7 linked regions of the Macaca mulatta genome follow. The protein of the gene in region 3 purifies or fractionates together with the protein of the main gene of each other region. This does not show direct contact. Links are inferred from orthologs where the notes say so. Each region holds a gene or a part of one and is shown on either strand. Other genes may lie near its edges.

Evidence for each region.
Region 1: the proteins of PPP2R2B (region 3) and MTCL1 purify together in Homo sapiens (affinity purification with mass spectrometry; 4 studies listed by BioGRID and IntAct, with this or other methods). This does not show direct contact. The link is inferred for Macaca mulatta from reciprocal best matches to the Homo sapiens genes PPP2R2B and MTCL1.
Region 2: the proteins of PPP2R2B (region 3) and PPP2R1B purify together in Homo sapiens (affinity purification with mass spectrometry; 4 studies listed by BioGRID and IntAct, with this or other methods). This does not show direct contact. The link is inferred for Macaca mulatta from reciprocal best matches to the Homo sapiens genes PPP2R2B and PPP2R1B.
Region 4: the proteins of PPP2R2B (region 3) and PABIR1 purify together in Homo sapiens (affinity purification with mass spectrometry; 4 studies listed by BioGRID and IntAct, with this or other methods). This does not show direct contact. The link is inferred for Macaca mulatta from reciprocal best matches to the Homo sapiens genes PPP2R2B and PABIR1.
Region 5: the proteins of PPP2R2B (region 3) and IER2 purify together in Homo sapiens (affinity purification with mass spectrometry; 3 studies listed by BioGRID and IntAct, with this or other methods). This does not show direct contact. The link is inferred for Macaca mulatta from reciprocal best matches to the Homo sapiens genes PPP2R2B and IER2.
Region 6: the proteins of PPP2R2B (region 3) and IER5 purify together in Homo sapiens (affinity purification with mass spectrometry; 4 studies listed by BioGRID and IntAct, with this or other methods). This does not show direct contact. The link is inferred for Macaca mulatta from reciprocal best matches to the Homo sapiens genes PPP2R2B and IER5.
Region 7: the proteins of PPP2R2B (region 3) and PPME1 purify together in Homo sapiens (affinity purification with mass spectrometry; 3 studies listed by BioGRID and IntAct, with this or other methods). This does not show direct contact. The link is inferred for Macaca mulatta from reciprocal best matches to the Homo sapiens genes PPP2R2B and PPME1.

Annotation. Positions count from the first base shown.
Region 1 is NC_133423.1:79,814,582-79,818,081, reverse strand, and holds part of MTCL1 (microtubule cross-linking factor 1), read right to left. Parts: intron 184-3,500; coding exon 1-183. UniProt on the Homo sapiens protein: Microtubule-associated factor involved in the late phase of epithelial polarization and microtubule dynamics regulation.
Region 2 is NC_133419.1:112,506,952-112,510,963, reverse strand, and holds the start of PPP2R1B (serine/threonine-protein phosphatase 2A 65 kDa regulatory subunit A beta isoform), read left to right. Parts: upstream 1-1,212; 5' UTR 1,213-1,239; coding exon 1,240-1,353; intron 1,354-2,002; exon of another isoform or gene 2,003-2,106; intron 2,107-2,216; coding exon 2,217-2,307; intron 2,308-2,704; coding exon 2,705-2,805; intron 2,806-4,012. UniProt on the Homo sapiens protein: The PR65 subunit of protein phosphatase 2A serves as a scaffolding molecule to coordinate the assembly of the catalytic subunit and a variable regulatory B subunit.
Region 3 is NC_133411.1:155,548,701-155,552,200, forward strand, and holds part of PPP2R2B (serine/threonine-protein phosphatase 2A 55 kDa regulatory subunit B beta isoform), read right to left. Parts: intron 2,504-3,500; coding exon 2,326-2,503; intron 1-2,325. UniProt on the Homo sapiens protein: The B regulatory subunit might modulate substrate selectivity and catalytic activity, and might also direct the localization of the catalytic enzyme to a particular subcellular compartment.
Region 4 is NC_133420.1:99,819,401-99,823,440, reverse strand, and holds the start of PABIR1 (PPP2R1A-PPP2R2A-interacting phosphatase regulator 1), read right to left. Parts: upstream 2,801-4,040; 5' UTR 2,797-2,800; coding exon 1,807-2,796; 3' UTR 1-1,806. UniProt on the Homo sapiens protein: Acts as an inhibitor of serine/threonine-protein phosphatase 2A (PP2A) activity. Inhibits PP2A activity by blocking the substrate binding site on PPP2R2A and the active site of PPP2CA.
Region 5 is NC_133424.1:13,727,093-13,729,231, reverse strand, and holds the end of IER2 (immediate early response gene 2 protein), read right to left. Parts: coding exon 1,542-2,139; 3' UTR 501-1,541; downstream 1-500. UniProt on the Homo sapiens protein: DNA-binding protein that seems to act as a transcription factor. Involved in the regulation of neuronal differentiation, acts upon JNK-signaling pathway activation and plays a role in neurite outgrowth in hippocampal cells.
Region 6 is NC_133406.1:38,498,408-38,502,313, reverse strand, and holds IER5 (immediate early response gene 5 protein), read right to left. Parts: upstream 2,640-3,906; 5' UTR 2,434-2,639; coding exon 1,450-2,433; 3' UTR 501-1,449; downstream 1-500. UniProt on the Homo sapiens protein: Plays a role as a transcription factor. Mediates positive transcriptional regulation of several chaperone genes during the heat shock response in a HSF1-dependent manner. Mediates negative transcriptional regulation of CDC25B expression.
Region 7 is NC_133419.1:74,579,613-74,583,781, reverse strand, and holds the start of PPME1 (protein phosphatase methylesterase 1), read right to left. Parts: upstream 2,801-4,169; 5' UTR 2,702-2,800; coding exon 2,601-2,701; intron 1-2,600. Other genes in the region: C2CD3 (C2 domain-containing protein 3), read left to right, coding at 3,330-3,384. UniProt on the Homo sapiens protein: Demethylates proteins that have been reversibly carboxymethylated. Demethylates PPP2CB (in vitro) and PPP2CA. Binding to PPP2CA displaces the manganese ion and inactivates the enzyme.

The sequences.
Region 1 (3,500 bases), on a different chromosome or scaffold from region 3:
GGGGGGCCCGCCTGCTTCCCCCGTGGGCAGGGGGCTGTCCACATCTCCATAGAGGGACTTGTACTTCTGGAGCTCCTGCTCCAGCTCGTCCTTCTCCCGTCCTAGCTTGGCCATCTTTTTGCGCATCAGGAAGGCTTCCTCTTTGGCAAACTGGAGCTGGCACCTCAAATCGGCACTGTCATCCTGCCAGGAGAGAACAGCCCGGGAGAAGGGTTATTTGAAAATACCAAATGTTCGTGTTTTTCATGATTCCCCTCACACCTCGCCCCCAATGCACACAAACATCAAACACCGATCTTCCCGTCGGTGCCGTTGAGTTACACAGAGAAAGACCCAAGACAAAGCAGGGGTGGGCCTGGGGCCTGTGAAAGGCCTACAGTTTGTTGCTTTGCCACAGAAACAAAAGAAACAAAAAAAATTAGTTTGGAAAAAAAAGTGCACGTGGAAATCATCATACAAGTTATGAGCGAAGTAGGGAAAACGAAATGAGGCGCAAAACCCAGCGGGAATGCGCAACACCTCATTGCTCTGTGGATCCCACCTGGTTCCTCACCGGCACCAGTGAAAGCCAGCAGGACCTCTCACCAAGGCCTGGTGCAGGCAGACAGGCATCTTCCACCCTGCTGCACTCACCACCTCCAACGTGCGGACCTCCTTCTTTCAAAGTGCCTGGCAATCCATGAGGTCTGACCAGGATGGGGAAGTCAGGCCACCCCAAATAAGAGCTCAGCTTTCCCCTGGTTTCCTAAGGTACCTGAGACAGGGCAATTCGCTTCTCCCCATCCTGGTCTCCCCAGCCCTAAGGCCCCACAAGAATGATATGACAAAAAAAATGAGGCATGAGCATGAGGGTGCTTGGAAGTCCAGGCGCGTACTGAGTCAGTACCGAGCTCTGGGTACACACTGGGTACTGCACACCCAGCCACCTGGGCTCCTTGCAGCCTCTCGCCATGCAAGTGCAGCTGCAGAACCTTTGCTTATGTTCCTTTCCCTTTAGTTGCTATGACACAGCAGGAAATTAAACTCGGAGACCCAAGGCAAGGAGTTAAATGTTGGATAGTCAAGTGTATCAAAACCTGAGAAGTGTCCTCATAGGCCTTCCAGAGGGTTCTGGAGGATCCTCAAAGCTGACTCTGCTGTTCACAGCCTGCAATGCTTGGCTGAGGTCAGAACGGCACTTTTTGGATCCACTGGAAAGTCAACTCTGCTTTGCAGGGCTGGTCTCCTTGTTTTGAAGCCAGATGAACTCCCCATTTTGGTTTTGCAAAAACGTTTTACTGTTCACATCCAGCAGATGGGAAAAATAACCGATTTCACAAATCACTCCTCTTTGATCGGCCATCAAAAGTTCCAAAAGGCTTCAGCAAAGGTTTCCCCCATCACACAGAGAAACTGACAACAACAGCTCTACAGGAGTCAAATCCCACAGCCCTCGTAGAGGAAAAGGCATCAAACTGCTCTCCAGGCCTGTCGCCCTTCTCTGGAACAAGTCAGCCCCCGGGGGAGAATTAACCCCTTCAGATCGTCACGTGTGCTCACAATGCAGCTTCTACACTCAGAGAGCATGGCTCGTTCTCTGCCGCAGTCTGGTCGCACACTCACAATTTGATAGAAAAAGAAAACCTCCCTCGGCACCCCCCAACGTTCCTCCTTCCACTCTGCCTGGGCCCTCCTTGCTCACCACAAACCCCGTGGAAAGGGAAAAAACGATATGACCAGGAAGGCTCAGGCCCACACCTACGATAAAGTGTGCAGCCACTGCCACAGGGAAAGCTTGCCCTGGCGCTATCTGTGCGTCCTCGGGAGGATGACATGCCCATTGTCATCTCTTAGCTGAGGACAAAACCAGGCCTGCTGGACTTGGGGTCAAACACACTGCCCGGAGTCCTAGCTTTGCCCCTCCTACTGTCCAAGGGGCCTGGGCTAATCACAGACCCGCAAGGTTGTGATGAGGGTCAAATGAAATAATGGTCTGTATATGATAAATCATAAACCTAAAAAGTGTATTTTTTATATATAAACTGGTTTGTATATGATAAATCACCATGCTCTAGCTCCCTGAAATTATCTTATTTGTCTGAAACACAGTTAGTATTGGGTAAAGGAGCCAGGAAAGAGTTTTTTCCTTCTTTGCACATTAGGAGAATAACATATAAATGTCACATGGTCTTTGAGTCCTGAGAACTTATCACATGAAGGATTTGGTTGGGTTTGGGTTAGGCAGACATAAAAATCAATCCTGTGACTAACCTGAAGTAAGGCTGTGTGCCCTACTCACAACTACTGAGGCGAATGGGCTATCATCGCCACTGGGGTAATGACATATTTTTTGAAAGAACCTACACAGAATACATGGACTGTAAAAGACATACATTGTTATTTAATACTAATACTAGAGGAAAAGCATACTTGTTTATCTGTTCATTCATTCTTTTTTATTATTATTATTTTATTTTGAGATGGAGTCTTGCTCTGGTCACCCAGTCTGGAGTGCAATGGCACAATCCTGGCTCACTGTAACTGCCGCCTCCCAGGTTCAAGCAATTCTCCTGCCCCCTGCCTCTGCTCCCGAGTAGCTGGGACTACAGGAGCATGCCACCGCGCCCAGCTAATTTTTGTATTTTTACTAGAGATGAGGTTTCGCTATGTTGGCCAGGCTGGTCTCGAACTCCTGACCTCAGGTGATCCAGCACCTCAGCCTCCCAAAGTGTGGGATTACAGGTGTGAGCCACCGAGCCTGGCCTTGTTCATTCATTCTTTCAAGACATATTTATTAAGTACCTACTATGTACGAGAAGTTGGCAAGTTACTTTTAAACAACCCCAGCTTCTTAGAACTTTCGAAAGTAGAGCAAACAAAAAAGCACCTTTTCAATTTTTGTTAAACACAGATTTGTAAGAAATTCAAATACACAGACAGGTCTTTGTTGTTCCCATGAAGGAACGCAGTTTAAGCTAAAATACTTGTCAACAGAGATGGATTGTAAATACTTAAAAGCTTGGGACCAGAAAACAGGGGAGTGCCCTCAGCCCCATTGTTAATTTGAGAGCCAGTGTCCGTCCATTGTCAAAAATCATCTAAATGATCCCATCTCCACCTCTGAAGCACAGAAATCCACAGCAGCAGAGATCACAGAGGGCAGCGTCGTCCAGCTACGGGGAAACTCGGCCCACTCTCCACCCTTCTTGAGCCTGGGACTCGAGACTGGGCAGGACAAGGTGGGGGCAGGGCCGCCTGCTGTGACCAGCGTCCACAGAAACTTGCAGCTGGCGAGGCCTTGATGTGGTGGAGCCAGGCCAGGAGGGGCAGGCAAGGGGCACTGTTGCCTGCATGGTACGGGAAGCTTTTGGCTCAAACAAGCGCGTGGACCAGGGACTGAGGCAATCCCACTCTGCCTGGTCCCTCCTTGCTCACCACAAACCCCGTGTAAGGAGAAAAATGATATGACAAGAAAGGCTCAGGGAAATAGCTACGACCAGCTCCTTGGGGTCTTCCCCAAC
Region 2 (4,012 bases), on a different chromosome or scaffold from region 3:
GCCTCTGGGGCTCAAGAGATTCTCATGTCAGCCTCCTGAGTAGCTGGGACTACAGGTGCCGGTCACCAGCCCAGCTAATTTTTGTATTTTTAGTAGAGATGGGGTTTCACCAAGTTGGCTAGGCTGGTCTCGAACTCCTGGCCTCACGTGATCCGTCCGCCTCGGCCTCAGACCCCATGTTTTAAAAAAGTCTGTCTCCTACACTGCATTAGTAGTTTCATTAATCAGGCACATAGAATTACCATTTCGGAGCTTGTGATCACCATATGTAGTTATCACTCCAAGCTGCTTAAATTCCAGTCTAAAACAAACAAAACATTCTAATTATTCTGTGCTACCCTGACAAGGGTAAGTGAAAACTTTCCATTCAGGTTTGTAAGAACGAGCTCCCAGACCTCCACCTCTTCCCCTTGCTGCCTCTGAGGACTCTTGGAGGTCTAGGGAGGCCAGTTTGGGTTTTCTTCCTCAAGGGATTAAAGCTTGTCCTAGTTTTGCTTCATTGTTGTACTTCTAGCATGCTAAAGAGCTAAAAAATGGGAGGAAGAAAATACAACAGAAGGCACCATTCCAGTACCAAACTGAAAAGAAACACAAAAACAAGAGAGCAGCATGTTTTTAACAGCTTGCGTGGAAAAAATATTGACTGGGGAGTTTGGACAGCACTGTTCATTTTCTCTCACCGCCCGCGTTATTTGTCTTACGGAGCAGGAGCCAGATACCATTCTGGAGAACAGGCCGAGGGAAGAGGTGGAGGGGTTCTGTGGAAGCTTGAGGCTGAGCGGAGAAATTAGGGCTGGAGATCCAGTGGCTCAGGGCCAGGATGAAGTCAGGGGAGGTGCTAAAGCCTTTTTCCTCCTGGCCTCGGGCACTCTCTTTGGTCCGCCTGAGTCTTAAGAGGGCACAGCGCGGATCACTCAGGTAGGTCCCTGGCCCCTTCAGACTACAACGAGCCGGATGAATCCCTGTCCCTGTTTCTTTCGGCTGGGGAAAGGACGCAGGGGTTCCATTCGCTTTCTCAGCCCACCCGTCTTCTTGAGTTCAGACCTACAACTCCTGCAGTGGGGGTCGGAAGGGAGTCTTAATCATCGGGACAGAAACTCAACTCCCCAACCTCTGCTAAACCCGCGTGGCGGCCTTCTCCCCTGCTGCCCGGGCGCGGGGCGGGGCCTGGGCGCGGGGCGGGGGCGGGGCCTGGGCGCGGGGCGGGAGGCTGTGACCAGCAGCAGGAGGAGAAAGAACATGGCGGGCGCATCGGGGCTCGGGACCGGCCCAGGAGCAGCTGGGGGAGATGGAGATGATTCGCTATACCCAATCGCGGTTTTAATCGACGAGCTCCGCAATGAAGACGTGCAGGTACTGGACTGAGGCCGGGGAGCCGAGGCGAGACCGACTGGTCGCGTGGTAGAGAAGGGGGAAGGCCTGCGCCGCGGTGGGGGTGGCCGGGGTACTGAATGAGCCGGACTCGTAGCAGAAACTTGAAGGGGGGGCAGGGAAAGCTCTGCGAGGGGCTGTGGTGACACGCCTCGACCCTCCCGGGGACCTCTCTGGTACCCCTGCTTCGGACCCCCTAAGGGGTCCGCCCGGAGCCTTGCCTTTCCAGGGCGGTTGTCGGGGAACCAGCTTCCCGCCTGGGCGCCCTATCCGGGCCGTGAGGTGGCCGCGCCTGGTAGGCGAGGGAGCTGGAGAAGCGCGGTGCCGGGCCGAGACGGGGCTGGAGCGGCTGAGGGGCGCAGGATGCCCAGAAGCTCTTTGAAGTGCCTCGGAATCCCTTCATCTGGGCTTGGAACTGGCTCGTCCTGTTGGGTAGAAAGAGGGGGTGGGATGGCCGATTAACCTGGACGACCTGGACGAGTCGTTGTATCAGCTCTGCGGGAACTTTTCTTTGAAACCACAGGCGTTGTATTCAACCGTTTCACCTGCTTCACCACTGCCAAAGTCCTCTCTTTTTAAGATTATCTTACTTCCTGGGTGTTGTATTGTCTTTCATTCATTTCTCTTCCAGGCCCTTCTGAGTGTTTCTCCCAGGAAATCTTCCGCCGGCTACTGAGGCCGAGTTACACTCCTCCGTTCTATGGAGGTTCCTTAACAGTAAAATCTAAGTAAAAGGTTATCTTCGTTCTTACCCCTGTGTCATTATTTCACCTGTTAGCACCTTTTGTCTTTTGATCTAAATTCAGCCGTTTCTTTACATTGTTCTTCTACTTTCTTTTCTGAAGCTCCGACTCAACAGTATTAAGAAGTTATCAACAATTGCCCTAGCACTTGGAGTAGAAAGGACGCGAAGTGAATTGTTGCCATTTCTTACAGGTATGTGAATCTTTGTTTAAAGAAAGGCAGGGACATTCATTTTCCAGGGACTTTCGACACTGACTTTTTTAGAGTTTGTTACCCACATTAAAATGAGCCAGGTGCTTTCTGTGCAAAAGAAACAGAACAGAGGATATTATTAGTTGTGGTTAGATATATTCAAACATCAACCATTTAGCTGTTGGGAAAGTAATTGATATGGGAGTATGAATTTCTAATTCGTTGTGCAAAACAGATCCAGGAAGATGGTTGATTGAGGAGAAGGAAGAAAATGCTGTTAGGATTTTGACTGGGCCACCTTACCGGTCGCATAGTGAATCTGTTCCTAGTTTTGTGTCAGTGTCCAGCTATGTGAGAGCTATCCATGTTGATGAGTCCCTGTTGTTGTCCCTTCCAGATACAATTTATGATGAAGATGAGGTACTATTAGCTCTTGCTGAGCAGCTGGGAAATTTCACTGGCCTAGTGGGAGGTCCTGACTTTGCCCACTGTCTGCTGGTGAGTATTTATAAGCTGCCTACCCTCCTAGAACTTTTGCAGTATAAATGATACACAGTTTGGTGATAGACACACTGCAGCATTTTTTATGCAGATCTTTTTATGGGCAGATAGTCATGTGAGTCATTGAGAGAAGAAATACTATAGGCACTTTGGACTCAACCCCTTTTTTTTCTGTGAATAAGAGAACTTCGTCCTTCTTTTCTGCATCTGTAGACTTACTAGTTTAGATGGAGGTAGAAAAAGGATTTGATTGTTTTAATGGTTCCCCCGCATGATGTTGGAAACCTTAATTCTCAGCTGGCAGCATTTTGTCTTTGTCAATTGTAACTTTTGCTTCTGACTTTCTGATGCAAATTGATGAATTTTTGATGAATTTGGTTCAATTTCATTGACATTTATTAAGAGTCTACTTTTTGGGAGGCCGAGACGGGCGGATCACGAGGTCAGGAGATCGAGACCATCCTGGCGAACACGGTGAAACCCCGTCTTTACTAAAAAAAATACAAAAAAACTAGCCGGGCGAGGTGGCGGGCGCCTGTAGTCCCAGCTACTCGGGAGGCTGAGGCGGAAAAATGGCGTAAACCTGGGAGGCGGAGCTTGCAGTGAGCTGAGATCCGGCCACTGCACTCCAGCCTGGGCGACAGAGCCAGACTCCATCTGAAAAAAAAAAAAAAAAAAAAAAAAAGAGTCTTCTTTATCAGACATATCGTAATTTACAATGTTAATGTTGAAGAAGACCAATGTGAGGGGGCTTGGTGGCACAAGCCTGTAGTACCAGCTACTCAGGAGGCTGAGATGGGAGGATCACTTGAGCCCAGGAGTTTGAATTCAGCCTGGGCAACATAGTGAGATCCCCATCGCTTAAAAAAAAAGAAAATGACCACCAAAGTGAATTGAATGAGGTCCCTTGCCTTTATGCGTCAACAAATAATTACTGTGCAGTCTTAAATGGAAAGGTGTAAGTACCTACAAAATACCCTACCCACGTAATAGAGGGGAGAAAGAGATTCACTCAGGGTGATCAGGGAAGACCTTGGGAGATGATGTCTAAACTAGGTTTTAAAGGATGACCAGGAATTCAACAGATGGACAAGGTAGGGATGTATGCGTCAGGGCTTTCAATACTGGGTAGTAATACTGATTCTGGTGATTTCTATCTCTAGTTCTGGTTTTTCCATGGAACTCCTGAGGTAGATTGATTAAT
Region 3 (3,500 bases):
AATCTCCCACTTGTGATCTTCCATGACCTTCCCTTTTACAGTCATGCTATAAACATGGTAACATTGGGGAGCTGCAGATGAAAGAGACCCGAGTTTCCAAATTACTGATTGGAGGAGGCTGCCTGCTGATGGGGATCATCAATATTAGACTTTACAGGAAAATAATCTTTTATTTGTTTGAGCCATTATGGGGTCTATTCTATATACAAACTTTTGGAGCTTTACTATAACTCTTAAAATTAAATTTCCAGGTTAGATTTTATGATCAACTGTCTACTGGATAGCTCTACTTCGATGCCCTACTATTATTTCGAACTTGACAGGTCCAATAATTTTCTATGTGTCAGAGTGTTCCACATACTGGAAAACAGCAATAGTTCATACAAAACCCTTGCTCTTGTAGAATTTACATCCTAATATGAGGAAACCAAAAATACATAAATAAAAAAATTTTAAATCATGGTAAGTACCATGATGATAACAGGGATAAAGAGTTATTGGTAGATACTAAGAGTTAATGGGAAAAAGTACCTCTGGGGCCTGAATAGTGACATGCAGCTAGCCATGTGAATGCTAGGGGCAAAATTTTCTAGAAAGATGAAACAGCAAATGCAAAGACTGGAAGAATAAGGTTTACTTAGGAACAGAAAAGTGATTAGTTGGCTGAAACAAAGTGAATTAGGGAAGAGTGACATGACTGGATATCAAAGATGGAGACAGGTTCCAGATCATGTAGAATCTTATAGGCCGAGTTAAATAACTTGGATTTTATTCTGAGTTCAGTGGGAAGCTACTGGAATTTATTTATTTATTTTTTATTTTTTATCAGGGAAGGAATGATATTTGAATTACATGTTGAAGGGTCTGTACTGTATAAAAGAGCAAGAGTGAATGGAGACCAGATGAGATTGCTGCAGTCACAGAGGTGAGAGACAACAGTGGCTTATGCTAGTGTAGGTAGGTAGGAGTGGAGATAGGGATATATGAGTTGATTTGACATATATTTTAGAGGCAGGGCTCATGGATAGATGGAGTTAGAGTAGGGGAGGCTGGTAAGTGGAAAAGAAAACTCCATATTGATACCTAGGTCAATTGTTCAGTTGCCTGAGTTGTTCAGTACCATTCCTCATAAATCTCATGCCTCAGGTTTGTGAGGAATGGAGCACATGATAGGTATTCAATAAATGACCAATTTTTACTATGAAATAGAGGGTCAACATAGTGGGGGTGAAAATACCGGCCCAGCTATTTGGCATTTTTTTTTGACTTTTCTATATATTTTTTATTTTTATTTATTTATTTTTGAGATGGAGTCTGGCTCTGTCACCCAGACTGGAGTGCAGTGGTACAATCTCGGCTTACTGCAACCTCTGCCTCCTGAGTTCAAGCGATTCTCCTGCCTCAGCCTCCCAAGTAGCTGGGACTACAGGTGCATGCCACCATGCCTGGCTAATTTCTTTTTTGTATTTTTAGTAAAGTTGGGGTTTTGCCATGTTGGTCAGGCTGGTCTTAAGAAATCCTCAAGAAATCCACCTACCTAGGCCTCCCAAAGTGCTGGGATTACAGGCATGAGCCACTGCTCCCAGCCGACTTTTCTATATTTTAATTAAACAGGAGATAATGATACTTACATTACAGGGTTGTTTTATCAAATATGTCCTTGGGGGTAGAAGTTACTAATATAAAGAGGCATGATAGGGGATTGAGAATTGTTAGTACAGTTCTGTTTCTGGATGTCCATGCTGGTTATAGGTGAGTTCAAGCTGTGAAATTTCATCAAACTGTACAATTATAATATGTGTACTTTTCTATAAGCATAATATACTTCAATGAGGTAAAAAATGTGATACTATACTTAAAGTTCCCAGTGCAAGTGCTTGGAACTCAATAAATATCAGCCACTATTATTTTCACTCTTATGATATAATGGAAACCAGTATGTCTGTGGTCCATGCAGTCCATACAGATTTGTGAATCCTTTAATAGAGAAAGGAACAGAGAAAGAATCTGAACTCTAGGGTCTTATCCTATTGTTGATAAAATCACCTCTAATTTTAATTCATGGCACATAAATGCCTCCCTATGAAGGAATTGATTCAGAGTCCCAATCCAGAGCCAGCCCTGGCTCGCCACTTGTAATAACAATATTTCCCTAATTTTATTGTTATGATTAAAGAGTCTCATAGGTGCCAGCACATTTTCAAAGGGGCAAGTTCTCCACAAATGCTAGATGTTGCATTTCTATTCCATATTTTCCCCAAGCCCACTCGTACCTGAATACTCTTGATTCAGGCCAGTTGATTCTTGGTCACAAAGAAAGGATACTAAAACTTTGATTGGTTATTTCAAAGTTCCATAGGTTAATCCTCAGGTCATCAGCGGACATGTAGGTTTCATAGTCGCTGTTGACGGATATGGAGTTGATGTGATATGTGTGTGCGTTGGCAAATACTCTTCGCGGGGTGGCTTCCACCATCAGGTCCATGGGTCTCAGGACAGGCACCTGGGATGCAAGAGAAACAAATCACTTCAGAACCAAAGATCTTCCATAGGAAAAGAGTTTGCATGCTAATGTCATTTATTATCACACACAAAATAATAGCCGCATTGAAGAAACTCCAAGTTAAAGAAGAGGCTAATAACAAATCACACACTGTTCCTGTTCCTTTCTGTTCCTCCTCTTTCAAAAGATATCAGCATCACTTAGCCCTGATGGAAAATTTCATTCTTTATAAATTCTAAACATTTTTCTAAGCCCCTCCAGGTAGCCTCATCTCAGGGGAACTTGGCTTCCATTGTGGAGTCATTACCTTCCAGAGACATGGTTCCATTTTTTTTAAAACATGAAATTTATTTTAAAAAGGAAGTTGTGGGAAAATTTTAGAAATGTCTAGTTCAACTTTAATCTAAATTTATCTTTTATGTCTTTTCATCTCATGCCTTTGGAAGCCTACACCCATTCCTGGCTTTGTCCTTAATCCTTAAGGGGATTTTGAGAAACTTTAGCATCACCCAAGACTCTAATAGTCCAGATTCAGCCACTAATACATAGGGAACCCAATGACATCTGATTGACCTGAGAAAACCTTGGTTTATATTTGCCTTAGAGTGCGAATCAGGTAGTGTCCACTTTTACATGCAAAACTGTTCCAGCTTGGACATTAATGATATGGTCACCTTACTGAAAAATAAAAACTTCTCAGTAAGTATTTCTTGAATGAGTGAGTGAGAACACATGATTAAATGATTTCTGTCTGGTGGGTCAGAGAATCGACAGCTAAATAGTCCCCCATACATGACTGTCTTTCTGGCAAACGTGAACAAAGACCTATCACTCTTCCTCCTTTGAGTTCTGGGTGAACTGGCTCCAAAGAAAGAGAGTAAGAGCACAAATGCCTGAGAGGGAACAGACTTAAAAAAAAAACACCAAAGACAAAGAAAACCCCACAACACAGGTGTGGTCCCTTAATAGAAACAAGATAATAAAATACCCAAAGCTA
Region 4 (4,040 bases), on a different chromosome or scaffold from region 3:
GTGAGAAGATTAACAATTTCTGTGTTGAAGATAATGAAGTTTAAATACCTCTGGAGGCAGGGCAAGTTACCCAACAAGAAGTCAGACTATTTAAGTTTGAATTTGAAGAACAAGGTTGAGAATGGGAGCACATGAACACTATTACTCAGAAGAGAGAATTTTAAACCTGTGGACACAGTCTTACCCTCAATGCAATTTCACTCCATCTTGAGGCAACCATCAAGAGTTGACCAGTTCCATTTATTTTCATAGTCGTAAAAATTCCACAAAATTGTTAGTCTCTGTAAGTGATAACTTTAAAAAGTCAGAGCTTTTGTCTTGTTCTGAGTCATTTTTCCCCTTTCCTCTTTGTATGCCATTCTTTCTGTCAAACTATCTAGTTAAGGAAGCTATATGAGGTATAAGGAAGAATATTAAGAAAATTTTGTTATTCTTATTGTCTTAATTGTAAAGGCAAAGAAAAGAACATTCGACTATTCTACCTTTAGCAAAACCTAAGTTAAATAATGATTTACCTATGTGACTCTCCACTAATTTTCTCTTGCAAATCATCACCCCTTAATTAATGGACATCCCCAAGGCAGTCAACTCAAGCTGTAGCTTTAACCACAGAGGTTAAACAATTCAGTCCTGTTGTTGCTGTCAGAAATCCAAGTTACACTGTACCTTTGTCTAATCAATGGTGCCCTACTTTGGTGGGAGATGAAGGAAGGGACCTGTTGGCAAGGAAACAGCTGCTTCCTTCCTGAACAAGGGAAAACCAGTAAGGTGACAGATGGGCAGAGCAGAAAAGTAGCCAAAAATTGCTCTGGCTCCTGGTTGGCAATAATTTTTGGAACTGAGGCACAACTGAATATTTTAAAGTATATCAACAATTGAGAGAGAGTATTGTTTACCTGGGCGCGCCAAAGTTCAACAAGCCTTCCCACACATTTTCTACATTTGAAAAACTTTTACGTTTGCAGTAGTACAAAGAGCTTAGCCTTAGCCTATGTACAGTGGGCAAAGACTGCAAGGCACTGTCCCATTTCACTTTAGGATTGCACCCAAGCAAATGCACTTTCTGGTTAAAAAAAAAAAAAAAAAAAGGAAAATTTTTATTTTCTCTATAATATAGTTGTATGACTGACTAGAATTACTATTAAAATCTCATTAAAAATGTTTTCCTTAAAAGTTTACTTTTATATACTTAATTTGAAAGGATTTGTTGCAAACTTTTATAATTTGTTCTCTAATCATTCCCCCTCCCACCCACTTCGGTACCCAGAAAACTAAATATCCAAGAATTCCTGGGTAAAACAGACAACCACTAGATTGATATAACTAACGTATTTTTTTTTTAAGCTGTATAGTTCTTCATCAAATGGAAATCGGCAAACCACTGAAAATAACATTAAAAATTAGTGTGGGCATGAAGTATGGAATTTTAAACATCAGTTTACTATGCTGATTAAGTCAACATTTATATTTTCATCAGAACTTAATAATCCCATAAATAAATAGAGCTCTCAATTATTTAAAAAAATCAAGGGATAACATATGTATTTAGACATAGTAGCAGCGTAAAGATGTATGCTTCAACACACTTATTGGGGAAACGTCTGAAAATATTACTACACTGAATTCAAAGGTATCCGCAGGAACCTGACATAGAAGTTCTCTAGAATAACATCATTTCAGGAAATTTCAAAAAAGAAAAGGGGTCGAATAGGAAATAGCCTCAAATTAATTGACAAAGTTCAGTGTTTGCCCCAACTTGATTATTCTCTCTCTCCACTGCAAAAAGAAAGTCTCAGGATGAGTGAATCACTTAGACGAAAGTTCATCTAGTGGAATAAATGGAGAAGCCGCTTGGGCAGGTGACACAGGAGAGTCGGTGGTAGTGCTGACTTTCGCTGGTGAGTTACAAGAAGATCCGGCACTGCTGCTGTTTCCATCAAGGGTATCCGAAGATACACACACACCAGGATCTGACAGCTGTGCAACGTCAGAAGAAAGCATGTTGGTGATGCCCTGGAAAAATCTCTTTGGCTGATAATCAGTTTCCATTTCACATTTTCTTTTCAATGGTCCAAGAACACTTGGTCTAATGCAATTGATGGGGCTCTGGCTTCTCCGTGTGGTAAATCGGGTCGTTGGGCTGGGAATAGGGCTTGGAGGCAATCCGTTGCTACTTACAAAACTTTGCAAGGATGGCGAAAAACACTGCTTCCCAATTCCCCGAGTGGGTGACGGTGCCGGTGACACAGGAATGAAATCGATGCGCTTGGGGGAGGCGGATTTCTCCACGTCGTTGTCACTCAGGCTGAAACTTTCCTCCCAGGAGTGGCTTATCTGCATTGCGGTCTGCACCTCCCGTTCGTGGACCGTCTCTCGGTTGATCAAGTCCATACCCTCTTCTTGTTTGATCTGGTGCAAGCGGCTGCTGTGCATGCGGACAGGGGAGGCCGGTAGCAGCAGGCCGTGGCGGCTCGGGAACGTTGTGCTGTTCCGCCTGGCGCTCGGCGCCTCGGCCTGGAACACCGGCGAAGTGTCACTGAGGCCGTGGATCAGGGGGGCGCTGTTAGACCTCCTGAGGCCCCCGCCGCCGCCGCTGCCGCCGCCCTCCGCCGGGCTCCCGCCCGTACCCGGAGGCAGCTCCAGGTCTAGCTCCATCTTCTCCTGAGCCATGTCGGGGGCAGGGAGGCGGGGGAGGTGCTCAGTCAGGGACCTAGGATTCCCATTCCCCGCAGTCCAGGGCCGCCGCCGCTGCCGCCGCCACCGAGAATCTGTCAGCGGGCTGGCCCCTCTGCGCATGCGTACCCCTTCGCGCAGGCGCTCGCGATGTCCGTCCTCGAGGCGCCTGCTTTATGCGTAATATCTGCGCGGCAGTGGTAGGGGAGGGGCGAGGAGTAGTCGGGCCGCTAGTCCGTATATTCCTTCAGCAAATAGCTATTGAGCGCAAACTGGCATTGACGAACGTCAATAAGATTGTCATATTCTGGAGTACATATTTATAAAACGAACAAAGCCCTGAAAGAGAGGCCCATGGTGATGTGGGGCTGTATGACGGGGAGTGGCGCTTGCGAATCAGGGAGGGCTTCCTCGAGGAAGGAACAGTGTCCTGAAATCCGAAGAAGTGGGCGAAATGGGTGCGATGTAAAACTTCGCAGGAAGCGGGAAGCAAGGGCGACCCAGCCAGGTGGCAGGCGGGAACCAGGAGGGGAGGAGAAAGTGTGGCCTGGAGTGGAGAGTGAGGGCTGGCGTGACGTGAGGTGGTGGACCAGACCACATTCTGGTCTTTATCTTGAGAACAATGAAAACTTAAAGGGTTTTCAAGCATGGGTATAATAGCAACTGAAAAGCTCACTGGCCTGCAGTCTGGAGAACAAATACTGGGAGATTAAAACCTTACAGAAAAAAGGCCAGAGAGGATGGTAATTTGCACTAAGGTGACAGTGTGGAAGTGGAGATGGAGAGAAAAGTAAATGAGAACTGTTTAGGTTAGGGGAAAAAGCCAAAACCGGGGATGGTACTGATACTGATTTACAGTCATAGTTCCAGCACAAGCATATGTGTGAAGTATGAAGGATTAAAGGAAAACCAGTAGGTCCTCACATTTTAAAAATAAAAACACTATTCTTGGCTCATGTAATTAATATGAAACCTTGATAGCTCATTAAAAGTGAGTTTATTTGTTCATTTATTCAGTCAAGGTTTTTTTTTTTTTTTTCCAGCATACTTACTATGTGCCAAACACTGCTAGGAAATGGGCCCTAGTCTGAGAACTTTTAATTCTTACTGAGGGGAAAATACAGAAATAAACGCAGGCTATTTTCAGATAGTGGTAAAGCCTTAGGAAAAACAAGATGGTGTGATGGAGCACTACTGATAGAAGGCAGCGGACAATTAGAGCTGAGATCTAAATGACAAGCAGCAGCAAGTCACGTGGACATCTGGGGAATGAGTATTCCAAGCAGAGAGAATAGCAAGTGCTAAGGCCCGAGGCAGCCATGAGTTTGTTGAGTAAGCGGAAAAAGAAAGAAGGGCAGTGCTGCTGA
Region 5 (2,139 bases), on a different chromosome or scaffold from region 3:
CACAGATGAAGAAACTGAGGCTGCACGTCCCCGCCTAAGCCACAAAGCGATTTCTCCAGGAAGATACGGGAATTGGGGCATAAATAGCCCTTCAAAGCTCACCCACTCAGCTCCACCTGAGGCTGTAGGGCCCCGGCCGCAGCTGATTCAGTTTGGTCTCGGGGTGGGGGCGGGGGGAGAGATCGACCACCTTTCAAGGCTTCAAAGGGCGATAAGTCCCCAGCTCCGCTTGGGGCACTGTTTAGTACTATCGTCTCAACTCAGAAAGCCCCGACCTCCCTGTCCCGGAGTTGTAGGACAATTTCAAGGGAACCCCCAAATCTGGAGGGGGCGGGGCTCCAGTTAGGGAATGCCCGGGCAAGGAAAAGAGGGCCCAGCCCTCTCCCGCCCACGTGGTAACCGGTCAGACCGGTTCTTGGGGCCCCAGCGAGCCGCCGCCAGCCCCTGACCCTTTAACCCCGCCCCTCCCCCACCAGAGCAGAAAACCAGACAGCACCGGCTTTTTTACTCAAATGGTCTTTATTTTCCTATCTGACATTTCTAACAAAACGCCAGGTAGACGGAATTAAAAAGAATTCACCACACGAAGGGTAAACAAAACAGACCCTCAGGAACTCCCTGGCAAAGGTATTCCCCTCCCCAGATTGGCCCAGTTTCACCAGCAACTGGCCTCAGCTCAGCTTTATGCCTTTCCACTGACACCCCCACCCCTCCAACATTCTCGTGATTCAGACCAGGAACTTCTGGGATGATTGTGTCCGTGTCTGGGGGAGGGGCACGCTGAAACCTGGGAACCTACTGGGCACCTCTAATGCAGATGAGAAAAACTTGAATGTGAAACTAGATCAGCCCCCGCTCTCACCCGAAGGTGCAGAGGCGCGGGACATTAACCAGCAGCACGCGGGGGTGAAGTGACTCAGGCCATTCTCCTCCCCACTCCCCAGGGCGGGTGCACGCCCCAGACCCTCCTCCCAGGCCCCACACCCACGCAAGGCGACAGGAAGCTCCCCACGCCTGCCCCATGACGCAACGATGACCGCTTACACAAGTATGTCAGTGGAGGGGGAAGGGGAGTGCCTGGAATTCTCCGAGGTTGGAAACGCAAAACCAACTCTTGAAAAACCTTGAAAAGGGCCACCACAGCCCCCAGTACAAAATCAAGTCCGACCCTGAGATCTAAAAAACAAAACAAAACAAAAATACAAAACAAAAACCCAAGCTTCCCTTCTCCCAGTCCAGAAGGAGAGCGAAAGGTTCACGTCCCAGTCCACTAAGACAGCACCTCTGGGCGCAGGTCTCTGCGGAAGGCGCCCGCGCCCCCGGCTCAGACTCCTCGGTGCCGTCGCTGCACACTGAAGGCGATGGCTCCCCGGGGACAGAGTCCCTCTCCGGGCCTCTCAGCAGCCCGGGCGGCGGCTTCTCTCCACGGTTTTCGCGGGCGCTACCCCCGGGATGGAGGGGGGTGGCCTCGTCTCGGGTCTGCGCCCTCCGGACGACGGTTCGACGCGCGCTCTGGGATCTGGCAGCGCCGCTCGGGGTCCTCAAAAGGCCACCACGGCCCGCACGAGCACGTTGAGCATGCTGTCCGCCGGGCGGCAGGCGGGCTTTGCCTCGCACGCGGGCGGCGCCGTCGGAGGGGCCGCGGGGCTGCAGTTCAGGAGGCCGGAGAAGCGCCTCTGCAGGACGCGGGCCAGGTTGGGAAAGGCGCCCTCCGCTTGCGCCGGGGGCGGTTGCAGGCAATCGGCGACTTCGGATGACGCCCCCTCCTCTTCCTCCTTTTCTTCCAGCCGGGCTTTCTTGCTCGGGACCAGTCCAGCGTCCCCGCCGTCGCTCAGGCTGCTGCTGCGTCGTTTGCGGCTGACTTTGGCGGGGCGCGGGCCACAGTAGGCGGAGGTCTCCTCGGCTGTCGGCGCCTCCTGCGTGTCCATGGGCTCCGGAGACGGGTGCTCACCGTCGGGGGTCGCTGTCTCGGCCGTGGACTCAGCTTCCCGGGGCGGGTGCAGGCGAGGGTCAGAGGGGAGGGCGGGCGGCAAGGACACTTCGGGCTCGAGGGCCTCTACCTTGGCCGAGAGGTAGAGCTCCCGGGCGCTGCGCATGACCAGCGACAGCTGCAGACTCCGGTGCAGCCGCAGGCCACCG
Region 6 (3,906 bases), on a different chromosome or scaffold from region 3:
TTTGGACAAGTCAGTCTCTTTCATCTTCCTATGTCAGTTCGAATGGGCTTTTAAGGTAAACTATCTAAACTTTTTTTTTTTCAATTACAAAGCTAAAAGATGACCCATATTAACAGCTTAACAGGAAACAAAGTTTTGCTGAAAAACATTTTTGCAGATAAGCAGGGCTTCAAAAGCTGATGGTTAAATTACTTAATAATATATACCCACATATTGGGTGACAAATTGGTCTAAACCGACCTTAGAAAAGCCAGTTGTAGCGGTAGGTTTCAAGAACCTGGCAGGTCGCTGATATTAGTATCTAATAGCATTCCTCTGATCTAGGAGGAAAAATTAAACGTGTCTCTCTTGATACTTAGTGGAGTCAGTAAACAATGTTCTCAGTCTGCGAATGACTGATATTAAGAACCACACCTTCAATTTTCTAGCCCAGGCCCTGGTTTCCCTCCTCCCACTTCCCTCCCAACCCAGGCAGGTTATTGCAGACAAGCAGGCAGTTACGTTGCTTCAAAATATTTAATACGTGTTAGACACGTAGAAGTTACATTTTTATACAAAAATCAATACAACGAAGGAGAAAATACTGTACAAAAACCTTATCAGCTCCCCCAACCTTTATATAACAAAGACTGGAGTCACCATATCTACAAAACCATAAGGTCTTTCCACTTCGGGCTTCTGTCTGTAAACTTTCATTAAACACTTTTTAAAAGCACTGTGTAGTAGTTCTGACCTAGAGCTTTTAAAAATATATCTTTTCTCTATAAACTCCATTATTTCCAAGCTTGAACTCTTCTGTGAAGTTCAAGCTTTTTCTCCCCTGCGGGGAAGCAAAGGACGGTTAATATGCCCCTTTCCTAGAGTAATCACAGGATATAAACGTTTCTTCATTGGGAGAGAAAGGTGGGGAGGGACAGAAGGAATCCAAGTCTGTGCTGCTGCCTAAATCCCTCTCGTCTTAGGAAATCCTGTGCGGAAACGCCACTCCTGGCCCTGAAGCGGGTCTAGCTTTCCGGTGAGGGGTGGGTGTAAAGTCCCTCCCTCCCCGGAGAACGAATGGGGAACTCCCCGGCCCAAACCTTTTAGCCGCTTCCTTCTCCACGCAGCCGGCAGAGGAAAGTCCCTGTCTGCCCCCAATCTCTTAAGCCCTGGGGAAGGAGTGGTGCATTCCAGAACAAAATAGTCTTAATGCCACAAGACAAACTTACATACACAGACATACACAAACACAAAAAGTTAAAGATCGTCCTCTTCCAATGAGCCTCAAGCTCCCAGGTCTCCAGAAAAGCCAGATGCGCCCGGGGGCAGTTTGCGATGCCCAGCGGCAACCAGTCTGCCCAACGCGCTCAGCGGCCGCGGTCTCTGGGCGTCCTCGCAGCCAGCAAGGGCCCGACCCTCACTTCGAGGACGCCCGCTGCTCAACCTCCTCCCCGCATGGGGGCCAAGGGCTCAGAAGGCCACGATGGCTGTGCTCCAGGGGTTCATGTCTCTCAGCACCGGCTTATCGCAGCAGATCTGCCCGGGCTCGGCGGCTTCCGGGCCGCTCTCCTCTCCCTCCTCTTCCTCCCTGCCGCCCCCGGGGCTTTTCCGTAGGAGTCCCGAGAAACTGGAACCGAAGATGCTGATGAGGTTAGCCACGTTCCCGGTCTCCATCTCCTCCGCGTCGTCGTCCTCTCCTCCACTCGGCGGCTGCTCTAAGTTCCGGCGGGGCTTCTTGAGCGGGGTCGAGCCGGGCGCCGGGCAGCCCGCTGGGCCGCCGCCCACCCCCGCCGCGCCGCGCTTCCTGGGGCACACTGCGGGCTGCGCGGGGGGCTCGTCCTCGGCTGGTCGCGGCGCGCAGCAGCAGGCAGTGCGGGGGGTCGCGGCCGGTGTACCCGGCGGGTCCTCCCCGCCTAGGGGGCAGCCGCAGGGGCGGCGCGCGGCAAGCGATCCCTCGGGGAAGACGCCCCAGCCTCCGGCGGGACCCTCGGCTTCTCCGGCCGCCGCCTGGCGCGGCCGCTCCACGCGGCTCCAGGCAGCTTCCGTCGCGTCCGCCTCTCCGCCCTGAAGAACGTCCCCGACTCCGGTCACCGTGGTCACTGGCACCTCGTCCCCTACCCGCGGCGCGTGTGAGACGGAAGGGCGCTCCGGTTGCGGCTCGGTCTCCGGCCAAGAGGCACGGGCGACGGGCGGGGGCGGCTCTCCCCAGCCGGCGGGTGGCCCGGCCGCCGGCTCCCCGGGCTGCTGCTGCGGTGGCGGCGCCGGGATCCCAGCGGGACCGGCCAGGTAGAGGCCGGGGCACGGGTCGCTCAGGTAGACCTGGCGGGCGCTGCGCAGCACCAGCGAGACCAGGAGGTTCTTATGCAGCTTGATGCCGCCGCGCTGGACCCGCGAGTTGTAGATCTTGCCCAGGGAGATGCTGACGATTCGGTGAGCCTCCAGCTTGAACTCCATCCTGCCTCCCCTGCACAGGGCCGTCGGCGCCGGGGTGTTACGTTCGGAAACTGGGAGGGAACGGGAGGCGCAAACAAGTCCGCCCCGTGGGCACACCCTTGATCACCTAAGACTCCGAAGAGAAATGACTCCGGTGACGCGCGCTCACTGCCCCGCAGACCTCTCTACACCAGACAACTACCCCGTTTCGGGTCCGGTAGCTAAACAGGGCAGCCCGGCCGCCCCGCGCCTTATATAGACTCCTCGACCGCCAATCACGAAGGGCCGCCAACCGTTCCGCGGCTGGCCGGCGCGCCCTCGTGCGCCGCGCACGGCCAATCGGAGCCCGAGGAGGGGCGCCAAGGCCCGTTCGAACGTTAGTCCCGCGGAGCAAGCTCTTAAAGGGGGCGACGGATTGCGGGCGCAGACCAGGCCGATGGGGAGTGAGTGTTGGGGACCGTGTTGGGGACCGTGCTCGAGGGCGCTACTGTTTGGAGTTACAGATTCTGGCTTGTGCGATGGCTTGCCGGAACCAAAGCGAACAAAATATTCGAACTTTCTTCCGAGCACGGTGTTGGACTCTGTTCTGCCATAAAGTCCTGATCTTTTCCTGATCAACTCCGCCCTAACCGGCCACGCCACCATTTCCAGGCCCGCCACACCTGTAAGCGATTCCCCTCAACCCTGGCAAAAATAGAGATGGTGGCTATACGCGGCGGAGGACACCCCTGGATAACAAATAGTATTACTGCAAAGTATTTGGCTGTCATTATTTTTGGATGAGCCGCTTTCCCCGCTAGAGTCACATACACTCTTAGCAGCTGTCAGTTCTAACACCAAAGAAAAAGGGGATTCTAAAAGTTTTTGGCTAGGTTCTTGGCTTCTTATCAAGGAATTGTGTCTAGATACAAAGTTACTGGTTGCCCTCTAAAGCCGGCATCTTTCACTTTGTTCTCTAGATTCTGGAACAAAGCCAGTTATCAAATAGGTTAAATGGAAGATGTTACAGGTTCTCCACAATGATTTTTTTCCCATTTCCATTTTTCCATTACAAGGACTGATCAGTCAACCCTTGGAAAAATCGAGCAAGGTCTGAAAATAAAAAGAAAGAAGTCCTGTGTTCCCATGATGATGTCATAATTTCATTTTGTGTCAAGGTAAAAATATAGCGCTAGGGAGTTCCAGAATTTTCTGGTCAGTCAACAATGTAGTCCATCTACTGGTCCTTATATCAGGGCACAATTACCACAGGGTTGCCCAGGGTCCTGGACTGGAAACATGGAGTCACTTCCAGTTAGTTCCACCGAAGCTCCACCACAGACCTGCCTGAGGACTCTGGGTAAATAACCTCAGACCGCTTCAGTGTCTCCACCGCTGAAAAGGGGAAGTCACATACACATCTGCTTTATTGTACAGACGATAAATGACAACTTCTCAGCCACAAACTGAATGAGAAAACTAAGCACTGCTTTCTTGGAGTCCATGTGGAACCCT
Region 7 (4,169 bases), on a different chromosome or scaffold from region 3:
TTATTAATACATTCCCTTACAGAATACAGAACTCTCTGAATATTCAGTTCCTCAACTACATGATGAAGTGGTGAAATGATCCATGTCTATGCTCTCTTTCAGCTTTATGATTCTAAGGAGAAAGAGAATCTGCATTATTACTACCATGAGACTTAGATGAAGCCTGCTTATGTACCAATAAAGTAGAAAAGAAAAATACGGGAAAATAAGCCATTTGAGGACCACACAAATATTCACCAATACTACCATATTTTTGTGAATTTTCTTCACAATACTACCATACAGAAAGGCCTTTCTAAAGAACTTTCTTTTCCAGGATAAGCAGTTACCCTAAACCAAGAAGACCAAAGCATCTATTTAAAAAGGTAAGTTGTCCAGGCATGGTAGCTCAATCCTATAATCCCAGTACTTTGGGAAGCCAAGTGGGGCAAATCACTTGAGGCCAGGAGTTCAAGACCAGCCTGGCCAACATGGTGAAATCCCATCTCTACTAAAAATACAAAAATTAGCCGGGCATGGTGGTGCACGCCGGTAATCCCAGCTGCTTGGGAGGCTGAGGCACATGAATCACTTGAACCCAGGAGATAGAAGTTGCAGTGAGCCAAGATTGTGCCACTGCACTCCAGCCTGGGCAACACAGCGAGACCCTGTCTCTAAAAAAAATAAAATGAAAAGTAATACAAAATAAAAACGATGAATTACTAACAATTATACAATCTTCTAATCAGCAGATTTTCCTTTTATTTTCTCTCAGTATTTTCACCCAGTTCTTCAATCTTCAGAGAACTTGTTTTGACAAAATGAGAAGCTGAGCCCTAATTAAACTTATCTAAAGAATGTATAATTATTAAAAATCTGATTTTCTTATGTATTTGTATAGAAGAGTGCTGGTATACTGAAAGATCAAATTGTAGTTTAAGAAAGGCAGCAATGAAGATATATAACAATTAATGTTACATTAATATTAAACTCCAGGTTAATTTTCCCAAATAATGTTATGGGTCAGTTTCCAAATTCTCTTTATTCATGTTATAGTCCAACTTTTCGATCTTCCAAAGTCAAAATAATCTTCACTTTACCTTCTATGTAGCCTTCTACCTCCTCTATTGTGCGTCCATCTCTCTATCTCCCCCTGCTAAGGTTTTCTCCTTTTTCTACTGTATATCACAGCAGGTCTCCACTTCAATTCTTAGTTTCCTTCCCTGGTTTTTCCAATTGTTCTTCCCATTCCTTTACCCCACTGTTTTATAGGATTCTCCTTTCTTTTCATCCCTAGGACTTACTGTCACAGTACTGCATCTCCTATTCTCGCTTCTTTTGGTAAGTTTTTACACACATTACTTCTTCAGAACCTAAGGTTTCTCTTCTGTAGTCCTTTTTCAAAGAATATTTATCAATTCATCTCTAGAATCCCAAATATACTCTTGAGTCCTCATACCTAAGTATCCTTCCTACTCCTTTTCTCTTTACAGTCACTAATTCCCAGAATCCTGTCTGAAACTACAAATATCCCCTCAAAACCAAATGCCTATTCAATTGTCTCCACTTTCCAGCAATTATCCCATGTTCACCTCATTCTTTGTCCTCGGCCCAAGTATCCCCTAACCTGGCACAAGCCATTTAATGATCTAAAATTCCAAAGCCTATCTCTTCAACATGGCTCTCCTCTCTTTCCAGCAAACTGTTTCCCTAACTCCCAATGCTTCACTAATTCAAAGTCTTAGGCCAGTACATTGCTTCCCTCAGATCTATTAGCCCCGCAAAAACTGATTGCCCAAATCTTCCTCTAAGCTTCCCAGACCTTACAACTGCAGCACTTCCATTCACCAAACCGCATTTATAGTTATTTCTCAATCTTTAGAGCCTATGGTCACTTTGCAAATTCTTCAGTCCTCTCCTTCTTCTCTCTCCCTTATCCTGTCCAGCTTCTCAGCACATTCCTATTACCCTTAACAATCTTCATGGCTATATTCTCCACCTTACCTTAGGCCTACTCCCCAAACTTTCTCATTCTCCCTTAAGAGGCCTAATCTCACCTCTCATTCCCTGACTCTGTCTTTAGACCTCTGGGAATTATCTAGAATCGTCTGCTTCCTAGTGCTCCTCTTTCGTTCTCCAACCCTGTCCAACTCCCTAAGCTTTTCTACTATCTAGTTCTCACAGTATACATATTAGAACTTTTACAATATCCACTCCTCCCAAACCTTTTCTTAGTTGTTGCCTCAATTCCCCTCAACTTTTCTCTCGGTCATTCCCCATTTCCCTCCACCTTCCCTGGCCGATTTTCCTCCACCTTTGTCACCTTTTTCTAAACCTCCTTCATTCTGGAGGTGATTCTCAGTTATGTTAGTCTCTCAGCTTCCCCAACCTTTGCCTCATTCCCCTCTCCCTCCAACAACATTATTTTTCCTCCAGTTTCTATTGACTTGGCGCCTCCCCTAGTTCCCCAATCTGCCTTCTACTCCATCTAAATATCTCCAGGCCGCCGCCAACATCTTCTCCTATCGGTAGACTCCTTCCCCGTGCCTCTCTGAACGCTCAGAGCCACCATTCTCCAATGGCCGGGGCCTGGCCCCTAGGTAGGAGTATGGGTCACGTACCCCATTCGCATCTTGGCTCCGCTCTGACTGCCCCCACTGCCGGGTAGAGGTGGGCGAGAGGGAAGGCGGCCGAGGTGCATGCTCTTTTCGAGGGCCGACATCAAGGAAAGGCTGCACGCACGTAGTCAAACAGTAGGCGAACCTTCGTCCCACGTTGAGTGTGGCCCAACCGGTCACGACTCGCTCCCCTAACGACGCCCAGTCGCCTTTGGACAGCACCCAGCTACCGGTAGCACCGCCTACCGCCCACCGGCTCTGCAAACTCCACCCACTCGCTTCAGCACTTCCACCGGAAGTGCGCAACAGCCCTCACACAAAGGAAGCTGGGTAACAGAGTCTGCGAACTCCGCAGACTCCCAACTGGAAACCCGACAACTTTCACCGGAAAGAGGAGCCGTCTTCAGGGCAATGCACCCTGGGCAATGGAGTCCTCAACGGGCGTATCCGTATGCGCTTGCGCAGCCGGAGGCGCCCCCAGCCAACCCCGCAGAGGTATTGTAGCAAAGCATCCTGGGTATTGTAGTCTATTGGCGGGAAGGCGTCTTGGCGCCTTCTCTTCCCACTGTTTTCCGGAGACTGTTAGAGGAAGAGTGGCTTTTCCCTGCCTCCCAGGCTGCCCAGCGGCGCCGGTTGCCGGGGAACGCAGGCGCCGTGGGGAGGGATGGCGGGAGGCGGCTGCTTAGGTGGTGGAGACAGAGTTGTGCTGATGAAGAAGAGCTCGGGCTCATCATGAAGCAACGTAAAGGCCAAGGGCCTGGGGGCAGCCGTGGGCGCAAAAAAAGAGGTAACCCGAGCGATCAAAGATTGAGGAAAGCGTTAACAGGGGAGCAGGGTGTAAGGAATTTTAGGGAGACCCCCACCCCCGCTGGATAAACAAGAAAAGGGACGTAAGAAGGGAAATAGCCAGGGGACCAGAAGGTTAAAAGGAAGGGCAGTTGGCCCTCCAGAGAATAGAAAGGAATTAGGGGCTGGGGTAGGGGCCACAAAGTGGTGATTAATGAGATGGAGGTTACCGGTGGGATGACTGTAGAGGAGAAGAGCAAACAATAATAGGATTGGTTTTGATAACGAAGTGAAATGTATGTGTGCGAGTAGCTTTAGAGGTCCGCAGGGACAGGAAGAAACATAAATTGGCAAAGGGATGATATCATTTCTTGTGTGATTGTGGACAAGAATCACGTTTTATACATTACTGAATGACCAAGGATTAGTACAAAGCAGGACTCGGTAAATGTTTGTTGAATGAATGAAGCATGAAGGACTGGCTATGAGCAGGAGTTGGGGAAAAAATAATTGTAGAGTATAGAGCGGGGAAGAGTGGGGAATGACAAGTGTGATAGGATTGAAGTGGGGGTAAGGGCATGAGGTTCTCCTGAAGGACCTGAGATCGTGAAAGAGTGTACAGCAGAGAGTCCTTATCAGGTTAACACCTCGAGGAGACACAGGCTCACCGAGTAGGGGATGTTAGCTGCAGTGAGAACAGTCAAACTGGGGACCGAGGGCAGATCAGGAAACTGGATATTGAATCTCTACAAGACTGCCTCGAAGGGAAAAAGGACAGTGGGTGAA